Linked DNA regions of Ovis aries. The protein of the gene in region 2 purifies or fractionates together with the protein of the main gene of each other region. This does not show direct contact. Links are inferred from orthologs where the notes say so. Each region holds a gene or a part of one and is shown on either strand. Other genes may lie near its edges.

What was found. Proteins that work in one complex are often made in the same cells at the same time.
Region 1: the proteins of HMGA1 (region 2) and EZH2 purify together in Homo sapiens (affinity purification with mass spectrometry; 3 studies listed by BioGRID and IntAct, with this or other methods). This does not show direct contact. The link is inferred for Ovis aries from reciprocal best matches to the Homo sapiens genes HMGA1 and EZH2.

Annotation. Positions count from the first base shown.
Region 1 is NC_056057.1:113,211,069-113,220,708, forward strand, and holds the start of EZH2 (histone-lysine N-methyltransferase EZH2), read right to left. Parts: upstream 6,305-9,640; 5' UTR 6,178-6,304; intron 6,088-6,177; exon of another isoform or gene 6,072-6,087; intron 1-6,071. UniProt on the Homo sapiens protein: Polycomb group (PcG) protein. Catalytic subunit of the PRC2/EED-EZH2 complex, which methylates 'Lys-9' (H3K9me) and 'Lys-27' (H3K27me) of histone H3, leading to transcriptional repression of the affected target gene.
Region 2 is NC_056073.1:8,455,945-8,465,584, reverse strand, and holds the start of HMGA1 (high mobility group protein HMG-I/HMG-Y), read right to left. Parts: upstream 4,594-9,640; 5' UTR 4,503-4,593; intron 4,246-4,502; 5' UTR 4,123-4,245; intron 3,829-4,122; exon of another isoform or gene 3,080-3,828; intron 1,013-3,079; 5' UTR 970-1,012; coding exon 868-969; intron 1-867. UniProt on the Homo sapiens protein: HMG-I/Y bind preferentially to the minor groove of A+T rich regions in double-stranded DNA. It is suggested that these proteins could function in nucleosome phasing and in the 3'-end processing of mRNA transcripts.

The sequences.
Region 1 (9,640 bases), on a different chromosome or scaffold from region 2:
AATATTCTCAAAATACCCAAATCAATACCTGAAAATCATCTGCACCAGCTTGGTTATGTTAATCGCTTTGATGTTTGGGTTCCACTTAAGGGGGAGGGGGGCCCTTCTTTACTGTATTTCCATATGCAATTCTCTACTGAAACATAATGAAAACATTCCATTTTTAAAACAGATTGTGACGGGGGATGAAAAGTGGGTACTGTACAATAATGTGGAACAGAAGAGATCGTGGGGCAAGCAAAATGAACCACCACCAACCACACCAAAGGCCAACCTTCATCCAAAAAGGGTGAAGTTGTGTATATGGAGGGATTGGAAGGAGTCCTCTATCATGAGCTTCTTTCAGAAAAGCAACTGATTAATTCCAACAAGTACTGCTTCCAGCTGGCTTTCCAGGTGGCTCAGTGGTAATCACTTGCCAACGCAGGAGGTGCAGGAGAATCAACTTCGGTCCCTGGGTCGGGAAGATCCCTTGGAGGAGGAAATGGCCGCCTACTCCAGTATTCCTGCCTGAAAAATTCCATGGACAGCGGAGCCTCATGGGCTACAGTCCACAGGGTTGGAAAGAGTCTGACACCACTTAACGACTAAGCATGCACGCACCCACTGCTCCTAATCAGACCAACTACTAAAAGCAGCATTCCACAAAAAGCGTCTGGAATTAGTCAACAGCAAACCATAATCTTCCGTCAGGATAACCCAAGACCACATGTTTCTTTGATGACCAGGCAAAAACTGTTACAGCTTGGGTGGGAAGTTCTGATTCATCCACCATATTCGTCAGACATTGCACCTTTGGATTCCCATTTATTTCAGTCTTCACAAAATTATCTTAAAGGAAAAAATTCAATTCCCTGGAACACAATAAAAGGCACCTAGACAGTTCTTTATTCAAAAAGATAAAAAGATTTGGGGAAACAGAACTATGAAGCTGCCTGGAAAATAGCAAAAGGCAGTAGAACAAAATGGTGAATACATTGTTCAAAAAAGTCCTTGATGAAAATGGAAAAATGTGTCTTTATTTTCACTTTTAAAACTGAAGGAACTTTTTGGCCAAACCAATATATTCGCGCGAATACACTGGAAAGTTTGGGACGAATACACAGCAAACTGTTAATGGACACGGAATGGGGTTACAGGGATCAAGAAATGTTCACTTGATAAACATCTAAATTATGTCAGTATTTTAAATTGAATACATAGTGTCTGTTTTTTTAAACAATAGACAATTAGAAGTAAACATATAAATCCTATGTGGCACTATTTTCTTTATATACAGATATTTAAGTTTGGGAAGTGTTTAGTTCCATGAATGAGAAAGTACATCTAGTCTTTAAAAAATAATACTGGCACAGTTACTAAGACTCACTTATTAAAGACTCACTAAGAGCTTCACGTGTATTCATTTATTTAATCCTCTCCATAACCTTATGGAATGAATGCTTATCATTAAGACACCAATTTACACACAAGGAACTTAGACTTCAAGGACAATGTGACAGGGTACCCAAGTTATATGACTCCAAAGACCACACTCAAAGCTTTCCTATCTTCCCCCCAGAGTGCACTCTATTAGAATTCTGGCTGAAAAAAAATCCACAAAGACATCTTTTACTTAGTCTGGGGCATCAGATCCCATAAAACTACAATTCAGTTCAGTTCAGTCTGAACTACAATTTATCTACTTTTAAATATAATTTTCTGATTGATTCAAATAAACTCATTCTTCTTGGAACCCATGATTGCCTTCAATCATCCAGAAGACAAGTAGATAACGTGAAGCTGATAATAGGAGCCAAACAGAATCTAAGTTTGGATCCTGCCTGCAAATTCCTAGCTGATAATCCTGGGCAAATTCTTAACCCTCTACACCAAAGCTTACTTATCTGTAAATGTTTGCAGAGTGTGCTGTTGTTAAAGTTCTTTTAACAGTAAAATACACATAAAATTTACCATTTCAACCATTTTTAAGCACACCATTCAGAGGCATTAAACACATTCAAAACATTGACCTTCCATGTCCAAAGTTTTTTTCACCTTCCAAATAGCAGCTCTGTCCCAATTAAACACTAACTTCCCATTCCCATCTCCCCTCTGCTTCTGGTAACCCCTCGTTCTACCTTCTGTCTCTGTAAATTTGCCTGTTCTAGCTACCTCCTATAAATGGAATCATAAACTGTTTCCTTGTGTGTCTGGCTTATTCTCCTTAGCATACCATTTGCAAGTTTCACCTACGTTATTGTATGTCTCAATATGTCATTCCTTCAATCGCTGAACATTCCATTGTATGTACACAACATGTTTCATTTATCCAAACCTCTGCTGATGAGCCCAAGGTGGTTCTCGCAAGAATTAAAAACAAAGCACCTGATGTGAATATTACCACAATAAAAAACAAACCAAGCAAACGAATGAAGCATCTGGCAAACAGTAGGCTCTTTAATATTAATGTCTTTTTTTCCACTTTGTCATATTTTTGCACCACATAGCAGTGCAACGGCAAGACAAAAACAGTGCAACCACCTTACAAATTTATCAGCTGCGCCTTTTGAGATATTATTGGATTCACAACTACATTTACCATCTTAAAAGAATGATGAGGAGCATCCCAATAAACAATCAGTAACTACACTAATACTACTTTCTTCAGTTTTAGCTTCAAAACCTAGCTCAAGTTATTCCAATCAAGAACTCATTAATGGTAACTAAACCCCTTTTGATTAAAAGACGTATTCGTCCCCTAAATTTCGGTCAATTTCAACACAATTTAAGCAGATACTATATGCCAGGTATATCCAGACGACCCATCAAGCTTCTCTCTGGCTGCCTGAAATACCAAATACGAAAACCAACAGTTACATCTAAAGTGTATCCGATTTTCAGTATCTTAGGGTATTAATAATTAGGAGAAACCATGGAACTTGTACACCTTGATAATTATTTTTCTTTGTAACCACTGCCACTCAGGGAGAAAAATACCTTCCAAAGCTCTTCACAACATGAATATATCCTGTTTGCTTTCCAAGTTGCTTTGTCAAAATATTTCCCTATATTTTCAGGATTTCCTTTATTCATTCAACTATTAATCCCTGCTCTCTAGCAACTCAGGTGCACAAAGAAAACTAAGACAGAGCCTCTGCCTCAAGGCACTTCAGAGGGAAGGGAGGGATGGCACCAGCAAGTGATTTCAATTGGATACAGGCTATAGTAAAGAATACCAACGAAGCCCTTGAAGAGACATGGAAGGCCTCCAGCAGGTGAAGCTTTCTCTGAACTTAATAAGCTGTTCCTCTTCTGCTCTCCCCAAACTGCACACTTCACCTGCCCACGTAGAAGTCATCATTCACAGAAAATGTTTTCTTCATTTGTATGGACATAAAGACTGCAAGGCAGATCCATAAATCATTTCCAACTGACTCCAGAATTCATTAGCTCATCATAGGATTTTTCCTTGCTGTTAGTTTTTAAAAAGCAGATCAACTTTCTTAATCACTTCTTTAGGCCAAGTCAGAAACTAACTCAGACTCCTGGAGCATGCCAGCTCAAAGGATGGGGGATATCCTGGAAAATCTCCATGCGACCTGGGGAAATCTACCTACACATTTCTAGTGGTCAACACAAAGATAATCACTTTTACGTATGCATGCAAGGCAAAGCTGGTATAAACGAATTTGTGCTCTTTTTCTTTGCCTAACTATACTAAATCAACAAGCATAGTTTTTTATCACTGCTACTTAAACTAAATACACTCTCAATTCAAACACAAAAAATTTAAAACCAATTCCCCCAAAAACCTTTTCAAACAAAATCTTGTGGCAAGTACAAAGATAGTAATTATCAAATATAATGTACACAAGATGGGGAAAACTGAATTTTGTATTCTAAAAGATTCAAATTTCTGCCAAAATCTGCATAACTAGCTCACCTCCTAACAATGGGCAAGATTATCAGTAGGACTTTTTATAATTACCAACAACTAATATAAATGTAGACAATACTTAGGAACAGCACCTGGAATGTCAGTTCAGTGATGTTGAACACTGCAAAATGTGTAAGACTTTTACACTACATTTCTTTGTCTCCACTTTTTTGAAACCGTAAAATAGAAGGCTGCACATTAGATCAACAGATAAAACAATGCAAATAAGAAGAGTGTCTAAGTGTTTCTAAATTTCGTTCCTTTGAATACGTTCACTTTCCACAAAAATTAATATTTAAGATGCCATTTTCCTAAGTGTTTCCAAGACTTTAAACATTACATTCTCTCACACACCTCCAAAAAGAGAATAGGATTCTCTATATCTAAGACTAGAACCCCATCTATTCCTAACTTTAGGGAATAGGAAAAGGAAATTAAAATGTATCTTGAATACTTTCGTTTTCTTGCAAATAAAATGATCAATAGTTAGGATTACACACTTGCTCTACATTTTATCTCCAAACATAAAATATTTGCTAATGGTCATAAGGAGTAATAGAAAATAAACTCCACAACCAACCCCCCTAGCTCCCTAGTGATCTAAGGGTTAGGATCCCACCCGCTCGATCTCAAACCCCCCTAGAAGTACAGACTACATTCACCTGTGTTAGCATTAGTGTTTTTTAAAAGCTTTTTTAAACTGTTGTTTTAAATGTTGTTTTATGTGACATTGAAACGCCACAAAACTAAGCTGATAACGACCTTTCAAACCCAGCTAGCAAACCGTGCAGCATTTAAAGCATTTTTAAATACCAAAGACATCTTTATTTCCAAATGAATTAAAATTTTACAGATCCCGTGCGACAAAGTAGCTTAACTGCGGACAGCACACGTTCGATTTCTTAGGCAACGAACATTTCTGCAGCCAGTCTTTTCTGACTCAACAAAGCTATTGTTCACGGAAAACAAGTCCAATTAATGAGAAATTGCTAACCATACCATCCAAACACACATTTAGCATAAGCGTTTTCTTTGGACCAACTCTTTGTACCATCTCTTCCCCGTTCATCCCCTAGGGATTCGGGGAACAATCTCTCCTCACTAAATGACAGCTGATTTCGTTAGCACCTGTCGCCAGTCTCACACGAGTTGGCCAAAACAGCCTGGACAGGTTTCTTTTTTTTTTTTTTTTTTTGGAAGATGATGATTCTTCAGAAACTGGGGATTCACCAGGCGTTGAGTTCACTAAGTTTTCCAAAATACCACGCTTCTCGATCCCTCCCGTTCTTCACAAAGTGACCCTGAGGCACCGACTTTTGGGGAGGCGGAGATGGGGGTGGGGGGCCCACAAGGACGCGTGAACTCGACGGAAAGCCCTCCGTAACGAACAAAACCGCGGAGATGGGGGCGGGGGTGGGGGGTAGAACAGCGCGACCCGCCCCTCAAACTTAACGGAGAGCCCCGCCGAGACGACAGAGGCGGCCGGGGACCGCCTGGTCCGAGCGGGGCTCGGGGCCTCAGGGCTCCGGGGCAGCTTTCGGCGGAAATGTCAGCAAGCGCGGACGCCCGAGTCCGGTCTCCGCGCGCCGTCCCGGCCCCCGCGGCCCCGGGCCGAGCCTGCGCGCTCGCGGGGAGGGGGCGTGGGGCCGAGCCCGCCCGCCCGCTCCCCACGCCCCCTCTCCGCCCGCTGTCAGGCCCCGGTGTCACTGCCCCTGACTCGCGCCGAGCTCCCCCGAGACACAGTCCGTCCTTTGTCTCTGAGTGCGCACTCGGCGCTGAGGTCCCATCAACTTGTGTGGGTCCCGTCCCACCCGGGCGCTCCCGCCGCCGTGCCGCTCCACACAAAGGAGACCGGGGGCTCGGGCGGCCGGCCCGCCCCGGGCACCCGAGCGCCCCCAGCCCGGCCCCGGCGCCTCGGGAGGAACGGGCGCGCGAGGGGACCCCCCCCCCCCCGCAAACCCTCCGCTCGGCGCCCGCCCGGGCTCCCGCCTCGGGTTTCTCTGGCTCCCACACAGCCCGCCCGCGGGGGTCGCGCGGATCGGCCCGGGCCCACAGCCCTTTCCGAGGGGGGTGAGGGGAGGTCTCTTCTCACCCCCACGAGCCCCAGAGGCTCCCCGGGAAAGCCCGCTTGTGGGGGTGGGGGGAGGATTACCCGGACCGGCTGAGCGGCAGCGGAGATGTCCCGCCGCCGCCGCCCCACGCCGAGCTCCGGAGCCCCGCCGGCCGGCCGGCCTGCCGGCCCGACAGCGGCGCGTTACCTGCGCCCCGCGCCCCAGCCCGCGCCGCTCCCGCGCGCCGCTCCCGCGCGCCACCGCTGCCGCCGCCGCCGGGGCTCCACCGCCTTCTGCGTCCCAGTGGGTGTCGGACGCTCCCGGACCGAGCGCCAAACCAGGCAGCCCAATCGCCATCGCTTTTATTTGGCCCCCCCTGTCCAACCAAGCGCCGCCCCGATTGGCGGGACGCGAGGCGGGCTCCCGTCCAATCACAGGGCCCGCCGGCCTCTGAGGCGCCGAGCCAGCCCCACGCAGAGGCGCCCGCGGGACTCTGCCGGGCCGGGCCGGCGGCGCGTGCGCGCGGGCGGGCAGGCGCTGAGGGACGCTGCCGCCTGAGTGGAAGCGCCGCGCCGGCTCTTTGTTCTTTTCTCCGAACGCCCGGCGCCTCTCAGGAAGGCGGTGGGGCCGGCGTTCGGGGAAGAAGGGCCTCCGGAGCCCGAATCCCCAAACCGCGGGCGGGAAGGCGGGCTGGGCGGGGTGGCGGGAACCGGCCGGAGGGCGGGACGGCGCGCTCGCGGCGCTTGGCGGGAACCGCCGCTTCGGTGTTCCCGGGCCGGAGGGGCGGGGCGGGGCCGAAAGCCAAGTTTGAACCAGTTCAAAACTCGGGGTGGTAACGGTTTCAACTGCCGCGCTCTTTTTCCCCGCGCGCGCAGCGGAGGCCCTGGCCGGCCGGCCGGCGGGCGGGAAGAGCCGGACACGAGGGCTCGCGGCGCCCGGTCTGCCGGCCAGACGCCCTCTACGGCCCCAGCTCCAGCCCGGCTGGTCTCGGGCGAGGAGCTGCGAGCCTCCCGCCCTCCGGCGTGGCCGATGCGCCGTCCCCCGAGCCGAGCGGAGCGCCCTGCCGGCTACTTTTGTCTGCTGCCGCCCCTCGGCCGCTTGGCCCGACTCGGGTCCCACTGGACTTTGGCTAGTCGATCCCACAGTGCCCATCGCCTTAGAAACCCTGGGAAAGAGAGAAGTCACGATTATTTCAGATTCCTCATTCAGAGCGCCTTGTTCAAACCCTTTCCAGTGTTGCAGTGCCAAGCACGTGTCAGCGTTAAAAATCATTTATCAAGGATGATTGTTCATGTCCCTCGTGCTAACTTCTCTACAAAGTATTAAGATGCCAGCATTTTTCAAGTATTAAAAAAAAAAAAAAAGATCATGGGGTGAGCCTGTCTCCACCCAGAGGAGTTAGTGCTATTCCACTTAGGATACAGTCGCCCTTTTTGATTTATCTGGCAGTGAAGTTAAGGTTATTCCGATTTTTTTTTTTAGTAGGGTGTAACTATAGGGCAAAGTAACCCCCTCACCCACATAAACTGAGATTCCAAATTGAGAGCTCACGTGCGGGGCAGGGAAGACGGTCACCTATGAGCTCGAGCTAAAAGCCTAACGGAATCATGCTTTAACGGAATCATGCTTTTAGTATTTTATTTAATTTTTAAATGACTAAGATTTTTAATAACTAGTTGCTCTCTTTGTGTTCCCAGAGACTGGAACAGTCATTTAACCCACTGATCTACTGCCTTTCCTAAATCACGGTTCCGTTCCTCACATATTAAAGTGTGAAAGTGAAAGTCACACAGTAGTGTCCGACTCTGCGATCCCACGGGCTATACCTTGCCGCCCTCTGTCCATGGAATTCTCCAGGCAAGAATACTGGAGTGACGAAAGCAAAAGATAGAAAACAATCCTGTGCCCAAATAAAAGCATGAATAAATGATAATAGGGCAAAAGCAAGTTATGCATCTGAGTGCGTGTGTGCTTAGTTCCTCAGTCTATCGGATTCTGCCCACCCTATGGACTATAGCCAGCCAGGCTGTCCATGGGATTTCCCCCGCAAGAATGCTAGAGTGGGTTGCCATTTCTTTCTGCAGTGCATCTTCCCGACCCAGGGATTGAACCTGAGTCTCCTGCCTCTCCTCCGTTGGCAGGTGAATTCTTAACCAATGAGCCACCTTGAAAGCCCTATGCATCTGAGAGGTAACTATAAGCTAATGTAACAATTCCATCTGTCTTCTACTGGACAGACATTCATAGTCCATGGTACAAGGCCTCCATCTAGACCACTTCCATCTAGACCACTAATTTACAATTGCTTAAGCATTTAAATCTCAAAAGTTAACTTCATCCCTAAATCACTAATCAAATTATTGATTTTACCTCATATTAAAATGTGGGCATTTTTTAAAGAAAGATAAAGGAAATTCTTTTAGAGATTGTAAGCAAATCCAAGCAATATACAAACACACAGCATAGCATGAACTGTCATGTGAGTTGCTAAGGCATTTAGAATCAAGAAATGACATTGGATCAAGATGTTCCCCCCAAAAAAATACCTCAGGAAAGGATATTTTAGCCAGACAATAAAGCAAGTGTAAGATTTAGATTTATGGGAGTGAGGGCACTTGAGAATGAACATGTGCTCCTCAGGATTAGGTGGAGTATAAGTAGAGCTGAGAACTCCAGTTGGCAAAGAGTGAGAGAGCAAATTAAGAGAACGAATATTGTAGAATTTATATTTACCATACATATTTATGTTAAATATAATACGAAGGCTGACCTGGAGCAGGAACTGGGGGTGCCAGTGAATTACAATAGTCTTAATTCAGGGACAACATTATCCAGTGAAGTAAGATGTTTTAGGTCACAGTGTGGCAAAAAAAGAGGATATATTGAAAACATTGCCAAAAGATTTAATAATATATGGAGGACATATGTTATTGTGCAACTCAACTTTGTATATTCACAAATACAGGAAAGTTGGGAGGAAGAAGTATTTCATTTTAGATACTAAGAAAAATTACCTAAAGATTTTCAAGCTGGGAAAGAAGAAAGCATGTATGAACCCCCAATTATTGAGTATGAATCCCAAATTACTAAAGGGACCTAGGTGAAGCAGAAAGCCAGGCTGAACACAAAGGTAGATGTGAACAGTGAGAGTCACCAAGCGTTTTTACCTCTGTGAAGATGCTCAGATGACAGGCATGCTCCTAATCACAGGTCATTATGTCCTCTGTTAAAGAGAGATTCACTATTACAGGGTAAAACCAAAAAGTGGAGAATTAAACTCTGAATTCAGGACAGAGCTCAACTTCATTCACTGCTGTTCTCCCAAAGTCCACCACTGCACACAGTATATCATCAGGGTTTTCCAGAGGAGGACAGGAAAAGGTCAAGTGCAAAATTAAGGTTTATTGGCATCACAGAACTTCCCTTTCAAGCCTACGAATGGGATCTACTTCTCACACATTCATTTGTTCACCTTGCATCCAACAAGTATTATGGAGGGCTTACAACGTGAAAATTTCTGAAAGAGATGGGAATACCAGACCACCTGACCTGCCTCTTGAGCTGCCTATATGCAGGTCAGGAAGCAACAGTTAGAACTGGACATGGAACAACAGACTGGTTCCAAATAGGAAAAGGAGTGCGTCAAAGCTGTATATTGTCACCCCGCTTA
Region 2 (9,640 bases):
CTGCGCCCTCATGTGGGACAGCTCCCTCTCGAGAAACCAAGGTCTCCACCAGGTAACAGGTGGCCCACACAGCCTGACTGGCCAAGCTCCCCAGGGTGCCCAGAACCAGGGCTCTGAGTCACTCTGCCACCAACTCCCCAACGTTGTAAACTTTCGGGCTTTTACAGAACCAGGCAGAGCCCAATGCAGGGTCACTCAAGGAAGCCCAAGAACAGGTGATGGCCCCTGCCCCGGGATGAAGAACTCCAGAAACGGACAGGAAGCATTAAGTAAGTTAACAGAGTGCTGCCACGCATGCTGCTGGGCTTACGTACGTAAACGGTCACGTTTCTATAACTCATCTTTGTTGGCGTTTAGTCGCCAAGTCACCTCCAACTCTTTTATGACCCCACGGACGGTAGCCCACCAGGCTCCTCTGTCCATGGGATTTCCTGGGCAAGAAGACTGGAGTGGGTTGCCATTTCCTCCTCCAGGGGATCTTCCTGACCCAGGGATCGATCCCACATCTCCTGCTTGGCAGGCAGATTCTTTACCACTGAGCCACCATACTTCAATACACTGGTCCACAATGGACTGGAAATAAAAGGTGAGTGGTTTACCAGTGGAAGCTCTGGCCTGCATGACTACAGGCTCACTCCTGGCTTGAACTCAGGTTCAGCGCTCCCTTGGGCCACACTCCTCTCCCGGGGTCTCGGGCAGCAGAGACGTGTGTGTGGGGAGCGCACATATGTATAGGAAGGATGCCGCACCCTGCCAGTCCTGTTTTCACCTGCCAGGATGCCGGAAACCTCCCTAGCCCTAAGAGGTAAACCAAGGTGAAGGTCTGGACAGCCAGCTGCCTCCTGCCAGCGCAGCCCCAGGGCTCACCGGAGGCTGCTTGCGAGGCCGGCCCCGCCCGCGCTTCTCAGCGCCGTCCTTCTCCTGCTTGGAGGCCAGGGGCTGGCTGGACTTCGAGCTCGACTCGCTCATCTTCCCTCGTCAGCAGAGCAGGCGAGGAGCCACGGCTGGGCTGCTGGGAGGCAGGGAAAGTGTTTTAGATGAAACTTCTTGCGTTAGCCACCTCCAGACCCTCATCACTCCCGCCCAGCAGGAAACTGCCTTCTCCCAGGGCCCCCCAGGACTCCCACCCTGGCCTAGGGTTGTCTGCCCAGCCCGCCGTGCAGGCTGCAGGGTGGGGCTGGGCCGTTGGCCCTAATCAGGGCCTTATCTCCTGCTCAGAAGGGCTCTTTGTTGCCCTGCCACCCCCACTCAAGAGCGCAGCCAGCCCAGACCTGGCTGTGGGTGAGGCCGTCCCGGCTGAGGTGTGGGCGAGATGGTCCTCAGGCTGCCAGGCCCCCCCCCTCCACTGTGCTGCCCCTTCTCTTTTAAGGCAAGCCAAGCCTGGGTAGCTCGCGGGGAGCACGGGAAGAGAGGCGAGCAAGGAACGAGCCCTGCACATCTGCCTGGCAGCCATGCCACCAGTCCCTGGGCCACCTTGCCCACAGCACTGCCCAGGGCCCCACCAGTTCTCTCTGCTTCCCTCTCCCTGGGTTAAACCTTGGAGGGTCAAAGATGCAAACAATTTGGGAAATGGGGGCTAAAACCACACTGGGTGAGGTGCGGGGAGGAAAGGAAACCACCCAAAGCTGAAAGGGGAGTCTCCTCTTCCCCTCAGCCCACTCGCACCCATCTGGAGTCAGATGGGATCTTTCTCTTTGATGCCTCCTCACATGAGGGGCAGGGACTTCTCCAACTGAGAGGGAGAAAACACTAGCTGACCCCCTGAAGCCCTAGGAGTGCTGATCCTCAAAGCACCTTGGTCCTTTTCTAGCATATTCCCTCTTCTTAAGAGGACTCTTTGGACTTAATCAGTCCTACAAATACAGAATTCATGTAAAACCACCCTCTGCAAGGGGCACCTGCACCTGTATTGGGGAGTCTCTTCCAGAAGCTGAGAAAGAGCAACAAGGGGCCCCCACACCTATCCTCCCAGTTAGTATCCCCAAGTTACAGACAGAGATTGGTCTTCGGAGGCTGCCCTTGGCAAAGGGTGGGCCCAAGTAGCTCTACTTCCAGAAAAGCCCTTCAACCTATAAAATGGAGGTAATGATGCTCCACCTGTCTTGCCTACGTCTGCAGCAAGAATCAAACTAGGTAAAAATTAAAAACGCTTAAACAACTGAAAGGTTCATTCCAATCAAAATGAGAACTAGAACATTTGAAAATGACTCTCCCTTTTCAGATTCAGACTATTTCCAATTTTAACCCAAAGAGAGGAAAGCCTGTCTTTTTTGCAAACTTGTGATTGTTACGAGGGGCCTAAGGCCCCTGATTCTCAAGTATTGAAATGCTCCAGACGGCGAGACTTCGTCTGGTAATTATTCCATTTCATAATATTTCAGACTTGAAGACCCTTTTAAACAAGGTGGTTGGCGATTTATCCTGCTCCATCATTAGTGGCTTGGCCTGCTCTGTAATTACAGGCAGTGATTAGAATCTTACATTACACCACAGATCCCCCTTCAAAACTAAACATCAAAATTAATCAGCTAAATGAGCGCTGACCTCACATGAGGTTTGCTGGAGGCCCCCTCCAAGAGGGGGTTCTAGTTGGGCGAAGCCAGCCCCTAATCCCACAAGGCCCAGCCCAGCCTGCCTGGGGACCCTGTTGAGTGCGTCTGGTATTTCCCCACTTCTTGCTGCTGGGGACCCTTTAATCCGCTCACCCCCACCCCAGATCCAGGCCTCCATGAACTGAATTAAGGCCTGAGGCCCTCTCTGGTGAGACCAACAAATGCTTGTCTCTTCCACCTGTTTCTGAACATCAGGGAGGCCTGGCTTGGAGAAGCCACGTTTGAGGCCCAACTTCAGTCCTATCGTCGGTAATAAGCCCTTTCGGGCCTCAGACTTGTCCTCTCCACACAATGTGGGCGCCACAAACGCTAAGGCAATCCGTGGGCATGACTCTAGGAAATCACCATGGGGCTGCCTCGTTTCCTCCCAAAAAGTAGCCTAGAGAAAGGGTTGATGAGGTGCCCAAGGTCACAGAGCAAATTGGAATGGGTTCCTGGCGACCCTTCTCGCCCGCCAGTTTCCTTACCCGCCCGGGGGCTGGTAAAACCCCTGTCGCCCCTACTCCAGACCGGCCCTGGGTGACTCTGCAAGTGTCTGCGCCCGGCCGTTGCTGGTCGGCCGGAGGGACGAGGGGCCGGAGCGCGCGGGGGGAGGGGCGCAGGCCGCGGGTGCAGGCGCGGGAAACCGGTGCCCTCCGACCGCATGCACCGCCACGAGGGTGCACCCGGCCCCACTTCCTGCCAGAGGGGGCACCCAAGCCCGCCTTGGGGCAGGAAACCTGGCGCGCGCGGGGGAGAGGAAGAAAGCCGCCTCCCTCCGCGACTTCCCCGCAAAATAAAAGCCCCAGTTTAAAAAAAAAATGAAACGGGGAGTCAAAGGGACTAGTTCCAACAGAGCCCAGCAAAGCAGAGAAACCAGTTTGTGGGGGCGGAGGGCAGGCCGGGCCCGGGGGGCTGAAGAGGCGCAGGCCGGGCCAGAGGTGGGGTCGGGGTGAAGCCCCAAACCCAGGCCAGGGAGTCGGCCTCGGCTGCGGAGTGAGCGCCGGGATAAAAGGCCGAGCCCGGAGTTCAGGCCGAATTGCGGGGTTCCCGCCCATCCCACACCCCCACTTACAGAACTTCCCCAGGCTGCGGGGCCGCCCGGCCCCGGGCTCTCCCGCCGCGCCCCAGCCTGCCCCTCTCCCCGCCCCCACGGCACAGGCCCGGGCTCGGGCTCGGGCTCGGGCGGGAGCGGCGGCCGCGCGAGGTGCACCGAGAGCCGCCGGGTGCACGACTCGCGCTCGCCGCAGCCGCGCACCCCCTCCCCCACCGCGCGCTTCTCCCGGGTCCCCGCCCCCCGCACGGCGCCCGCGGCGCGGGGGCAGGGGTGCGGGCGCCCTCCCCGCGCCGCCCGGCCCCACCGCCCGCCCCCCGCGCCGCGCGGCCCTCCCCCGCCGGCGGCTCGCGCAGCCCCGGCCTGGGAATAAAGCCGGAGGCGCGCGCTGCAGCCCCGGGGCGGCTTGCAGGAGGGGGCGGCGTGCGGCCGCGGCGCGGGCGCCCCCCTCCGCCGCCGGCCCCGGGACGGACTCACCGCGAGCTCGGCTGCCGGCCTGCGGTGCGTGCTCCGAGCTGCCGGGAGCGACGGTGTTGGGCGCTGAGGACCGGCCTGGCTCCGCCGCCGCCGCCGCCGCCGCCGCTGGTAGCAAATGCGGATCTGAAACCGGGAGAGAGAGCAGAAGCGCTCAGAGGCCGCCGCCGCCGCGTGCTCGCCGCCCTGGCCCCCGCGGGGTATTTATATGTCACATCCAGGCCGGGGGGGGGAGCACAAAAATATTCCACCTCCCCCGAAGGATGGCGAGGGGCAGGAAGCTAGGCACGGCCCGTGCGCGGCCTCAATAAATAAATAATTTATTTAAATGATAGATTAAAAAAAAAAAAAAAAAGGAGCCACCAGAGGGGCCGCGAACTCACGCCTTCTTGGAGCCGCGCCAGGGCCAGAAATAGCCCGGGCTCGGAGTCCCAATTAGAGGAGCGCAGCCCCGGCTCAGGGGAGCTTAAAAAGAGCGACCCAGGGGCAGGGGGGACGGGCCCGCCCGCGCCAGCCGTGTCACTGGGGGGCGGGGCCATGCAAATGAGCCTGGGGATTTAAAAGGGCGGCCGCCCGCCGCCGCCGCGCGGGTGGGTGCTGACGACGGCGAGGGCTGTCCGGAGACGGGCGTCTGGGGGCGGGCGCGCAGGGGGGCCGGGCCGGGGCCCAGAGGACGCGGCCCCCTCCCCGCAGTCCCCTGCCGGCAGACATGGGGAGCTGTTGAGAGGGGTCACCAGGAAGCCCTTCCCAGGGGCGGGCGTTCCCTGCGTGGAGTGGGCTCGCGCGAGAGACGCCTCTGGGGCCTTCCGGGCGTTAGGCCTGGCGCCCGCGGGCGCGTGAATGTGCGCGGGCGCCGGTGCCTGCGGGGGTCTGCGCGGACGCCGGTTAGAGAGTCCCGCGGCCTACCCGCCGCCCTCTCCGCCTAGATTACGCGGCTCCTTAGTTTCCCCTGGGCGGACAGGTGTCAGCGTGTGCATTTCGGTGCCAGCCGTGTGTGGCTGACTGGTGAAATGTAAGGTCTTGTGAAACTCGAACGTGAAACTTGTGAGATCCAGAGTTTAGATTTAATGGGTCCGAGTGAGCCATAATCAAGGTGCGGCCTCCACGCGAGGTAAACGATTGGCTCCTCTTCAGGTAAACCTGAGGGGAGGGCTCATTCCTTTTAAGTGACCCGGATGGTGTTGTAGAGACCAACGGCCCCACTGGGTGCCCTGGCCCCTTCCGCTGTGACTTTTTTTTTTTTTAGTAAAACGTGACCCGGTGGTCGCCTGGAAGCACTCTGAAGGCAGGGAATGAGTCTGCGCACGATGTACCCCGCCACGCCTGGCGCCATAAAGACCTATTGCGCAGCCCAAGCGGGAAGATGGCGGGGAGGGCGGTGGGGGAAGAAAGGGCGCTGTCAGGGGCGCGCCCTGCAGGCCGGGCCCGGGGCCTTCTCGGGCGCACTTCCCCGCCCCTGGTCCCCGAGGCGGCCTTCCCCATCTCCCCGTGATGCAGGGACTCGCAGTGCGGCCCAGTGACACACGGCTGTGACTCATGTTTCTCTGTGTTCCCCTTCTTCCTCCCCGGTCAGCGGAGGCCTCGGCTCAGCCCCCTCCTCAGGGGGCGAACCGGCGCTGGAGGGTGGAGGCGGATGGGGGGACGCCTGGAAAATCCTGCGCCCAGAATGGAGGCGGGGTGGGGAACCGGAGGGGCCGGGCCTCCCCGTTTCAGGAATGTCTCAGGAATGTTTCCGGTGGGGGTGGGGGGCAGGGCCGGGCCGGGGGCAGCACGTGCTCGGCCGGGTGGGGGCGGGGACGCCAGGGCGGGAAGGCGCTGGGGCCAACGGAGCGGGCTCAGGGAGGAGGGCGCGGGCCCGGGCGGGGAGCGGGCCGGGAGGCCGACCTCCGCGCGCCCGCCCTCCGCCCCGCGCCCAGGTGAAAGGCTGTCCCTGAGAAGTCTCCGGGCTGCCCCGGGAAGGGAGAGGAAGTCACCGAAGGGCGGCCTGAGGGAGAGGAGGGTGGAGGGGGAAGGCGAGGGCGAGGCTGGGGGAGGGGCGGCCTGCCCCTTTGTGTGGAGTGGGGGTGGGGCGGGGTGGAAGGCGCGCCGCTCCTTCCGTCTTTGTGCCCGGCCCGCCAAGCCAGCGCTTAGTAGGCCGCGAGTCCATTTGGCTGGAGAACCTTGAGTTGCCAGCTCGAGAACTTCTGCAGCGTTGAGTGGAAGAGCGAGCCTTCAGCCCTTACCCTACCCGCCTGGGTCACAGGCCCCTGCCGGCCACCCGGGCGCCCACGCCTGGGCCTGGGCGAGCCCCCCCAGAGCCGGTCTGCCCTGGCCCATAAGGCAGCCCAGGCCTCTAGGCCCAAGCTCCCAGGCTAGCCGCCCTTCCAGGCCCCTCCCCTCCGCGCGCTAACCTCGGGGCCGCTCTCCCTGGCCTGGGCGGCCAGTGGTGGCCCCTGAGAGGGAGGGAGGTGGGGAATAGGAAGAGAGCCTTCCGCCTCGACAGGGCTGTGGGAAAACTTGGCCAACTTTTTGGCCCGCTTCTAAACGAGCTGACTTGATCTTATTTTTCCTACTCTTACTTCCTCCTCATCCTGACTTCACCGACTTGTTACCTTGTATTATGTTTGTGTTTTTGTAAGCCACCTCAAACCCTCTGAAAGGAGGCAGGCGTAAATAAATTGGTAGGCAAATATAGTAGTTTGTTCCTCTCCGGGATTACCCACACCCTTGAAATCCAAATAACTCTACCCACTGACCCCCCACCTCCATTCTTTCTGGATTGCACATGCCCCAAATTGACTTCCTTTCTTTCCTCTTTCAATAAGTAGTTATTAAGCAGAAGGATGAGTGACAGGGATAAAGATGAATAAGACAAGTCATAGTCCTTGCCCCAGCGAATTTCCTGGGCAGAGACATCTAGAGGAACACAGTCCCAGAGGTGCTGTGAGGAGATAGCATTCAATCATTCATGCCATATTTATTGAAGGCCTACTGTGTACCAGGAACTAGTCCAAACTTTTAGGGTAAAACAATGAACAAAAACGTTCCCTGCATTCTTGAAACCTGAATTAGGGGGTTAGGTGCTTAAAGAGACACTTAATAGCTGCAACAGGAAGAAGGATGGGAGCTGAGGGGTTAGGGGGGTAGTTGCCAGAGAAGCCTGGAGGAGATGGGCTTTGACAGGCTTTGATGGGATTTGGTAGATGGAGGGCCAGGGGGAGCAGGCTGGGAGAGGGAGCTATTCTAGGCCTGGGGCATCCACCTCTTTGGTCAAAGCCTGAAGTAGGCGTCCCAAGGGAATTGGTCATACCAGAACCAGTCTTCCCCACAGGAAGCATTTTCTTACCATCCGAGTTAGATTATACATTTTTCACAAGGGCAACCCAATGAACTTCAGTGAACTCAACAAAAATGTCCAGAGAATGGGGAATTCGGGTCAACTTTATTTTTCAGGACAGCTGAAGGTTAAGCTCATTTCCACTTGGGCTGTTGAAATTCTTCCTGACAAATGTTAGTTCTTTCCTTGCCTTACTGAGTAGCAGGGCCTGGTCTCTCAGTTGTGGCTTGGAAATGCAGGGGTTTGGGTAGGTTGGGGGAGGGGGGGTGTCTCTTAGTGTCCTCTGGGTATTCATGGCTTAGTTCGTCTCTGCAGTCAATATATTCCTGAAGACGGGAAAGGCTACCCACTCCAGTATTCTGGCCTGGAGAATTCCATGGACTGTATAGTCCATGGAGTCAAAAAGAGTTGGACTCTACTGAATGACTTTCACTTCTTGCTTCTGAGTCAACTGCAGCTCTTAGGAGAGTAGAAGAGAAGACAGGTGTGATCATTCCATTTAGTGACTGGGTCAGTGGAGATTTTCCAAAAGGCATGGGGGTGAGGTGTGATGTGATGATGACGTGTGTTCAGCCCTCCAAGGAAGGCTGGGAGGAGGTGGGCAGAGGAGGGACAGGAATTACTATTGTTTAAACCAAGATACTTTTTAAAGTAAACCTTTTCCTGATGAAAACTGTACATATAGAAAATGCACAAATTCTTTATTCAGCTCAGTACATTTTCATAAAGTGAGCACCCTTGTGTCCCCAGCATCCAGATAAAGAAACAGAAATCTCCAGCTCCCTCTTGGCACAGTCCCAACTTCTGTTAGAATCCTTTGGTTTCACCTTCCAGGTGTACTGTATGGAAGAAATCATTTGTTAGGTATTCCTGGTTTCCTTTACCCAACAATTTGTCTGAGATTCATTCATGTTATTGCACACATGGCTGCAGAAAGTTCATTATCACTGCTGCTAAGTTACATGATGTGAATGTACCACAGTTTAGATATTCACTCTTGTTGAGGACATCTGGATAGTTTCTGGTTTGGGGCTATTACAAGTAGTGCTATTGCGAATGTTCTAGCGTATGTCTTGGTGAATAGATGTGCAAACTTCTGTTGGGTCCACACCTAAGAGAGGAATTCCTGGATCATAGGATATGTATACTCAGCTATTAGAGACAAGCAGAGCACTTAAGAGCAAAAGGAGGTACTATTAATAGTTGTGACTCAACTAGGGACGTGAACCTGACCTGGCCGATTTCAACTGGGGTTGACCTCAACCATATCAACAGGATTGGCCTGGGTAAGCTTGGTGTCGGGTCACTCTACTGCACACTGACCACTCTCTTGGAGAGTCACCCAGCTACTAGTACATCTGGTCATCTGGCAGGATCCGGCCTCCAGGCCCTGCTGACCACAAGCTCTGCTGCCAGGAAGCCTGGCAGGCCCAGAGTGGGAGGAGGGCCTTTTCTGCTTCCAGCTTTCAAGGGAAAAGCTCTCCAATGAATAGGAGGGCCCAGGAGACAGGCACCTCTCTGCCCCCTGCCCTGAGCCAGCAGCCCACCTTGCATGGCCCCAGGACACCATGAACTTCATCAGCTGCCTACTTCAGGGCCAGAGCCCAGGGAAGCCCAGCTCCTCTCCAGCCTTGGGAAAAACCCTAAGGAAAAGGGGGAGCTGATGAGAAAATACTAAACATTTATGTTCTCTCAGCGCCCTCAACCCCCTACTAGTTCAGTAATGCTAGTGCCCCCATTCTACAGGTGTTAAAACCAATGCTAGGGGAGGTTAAATAGCTTGGAACTCTGCCACTTTCCTCTCCACTGCTTTTATCCCACACTGAACAGGCTTGCTACCTTCTCTCAGCCTGGCCAGATAGGAGATGTGGCCTTGAACAAGGTAGCTACATTCCCTGTCTTCAAGTGGTTTACTTTGAATGAGGTGGGGAGACAGACAAGTACATGGCTTCATCAGTGTGGTACCTGCTGTGATGGGGAACACAGGACAGGGACCCAGAGTATAGGTGGAGCATTCCAGGAGGCCTTGGAACCAGGTGTGGGAGGGAGAAGGGCATCTGATATAAGATGGGCTTCGGGCTCTGACATACACAGTGAACTGGCATTCAGCATCCCTTCTCACACTCCTTTGAAGCTACAGTTTGGGATGTGAATTAGGTTCCCCTTTGAAAAAGTGAAATTGGAAAGGCGGAAGCAAGGTGAGGG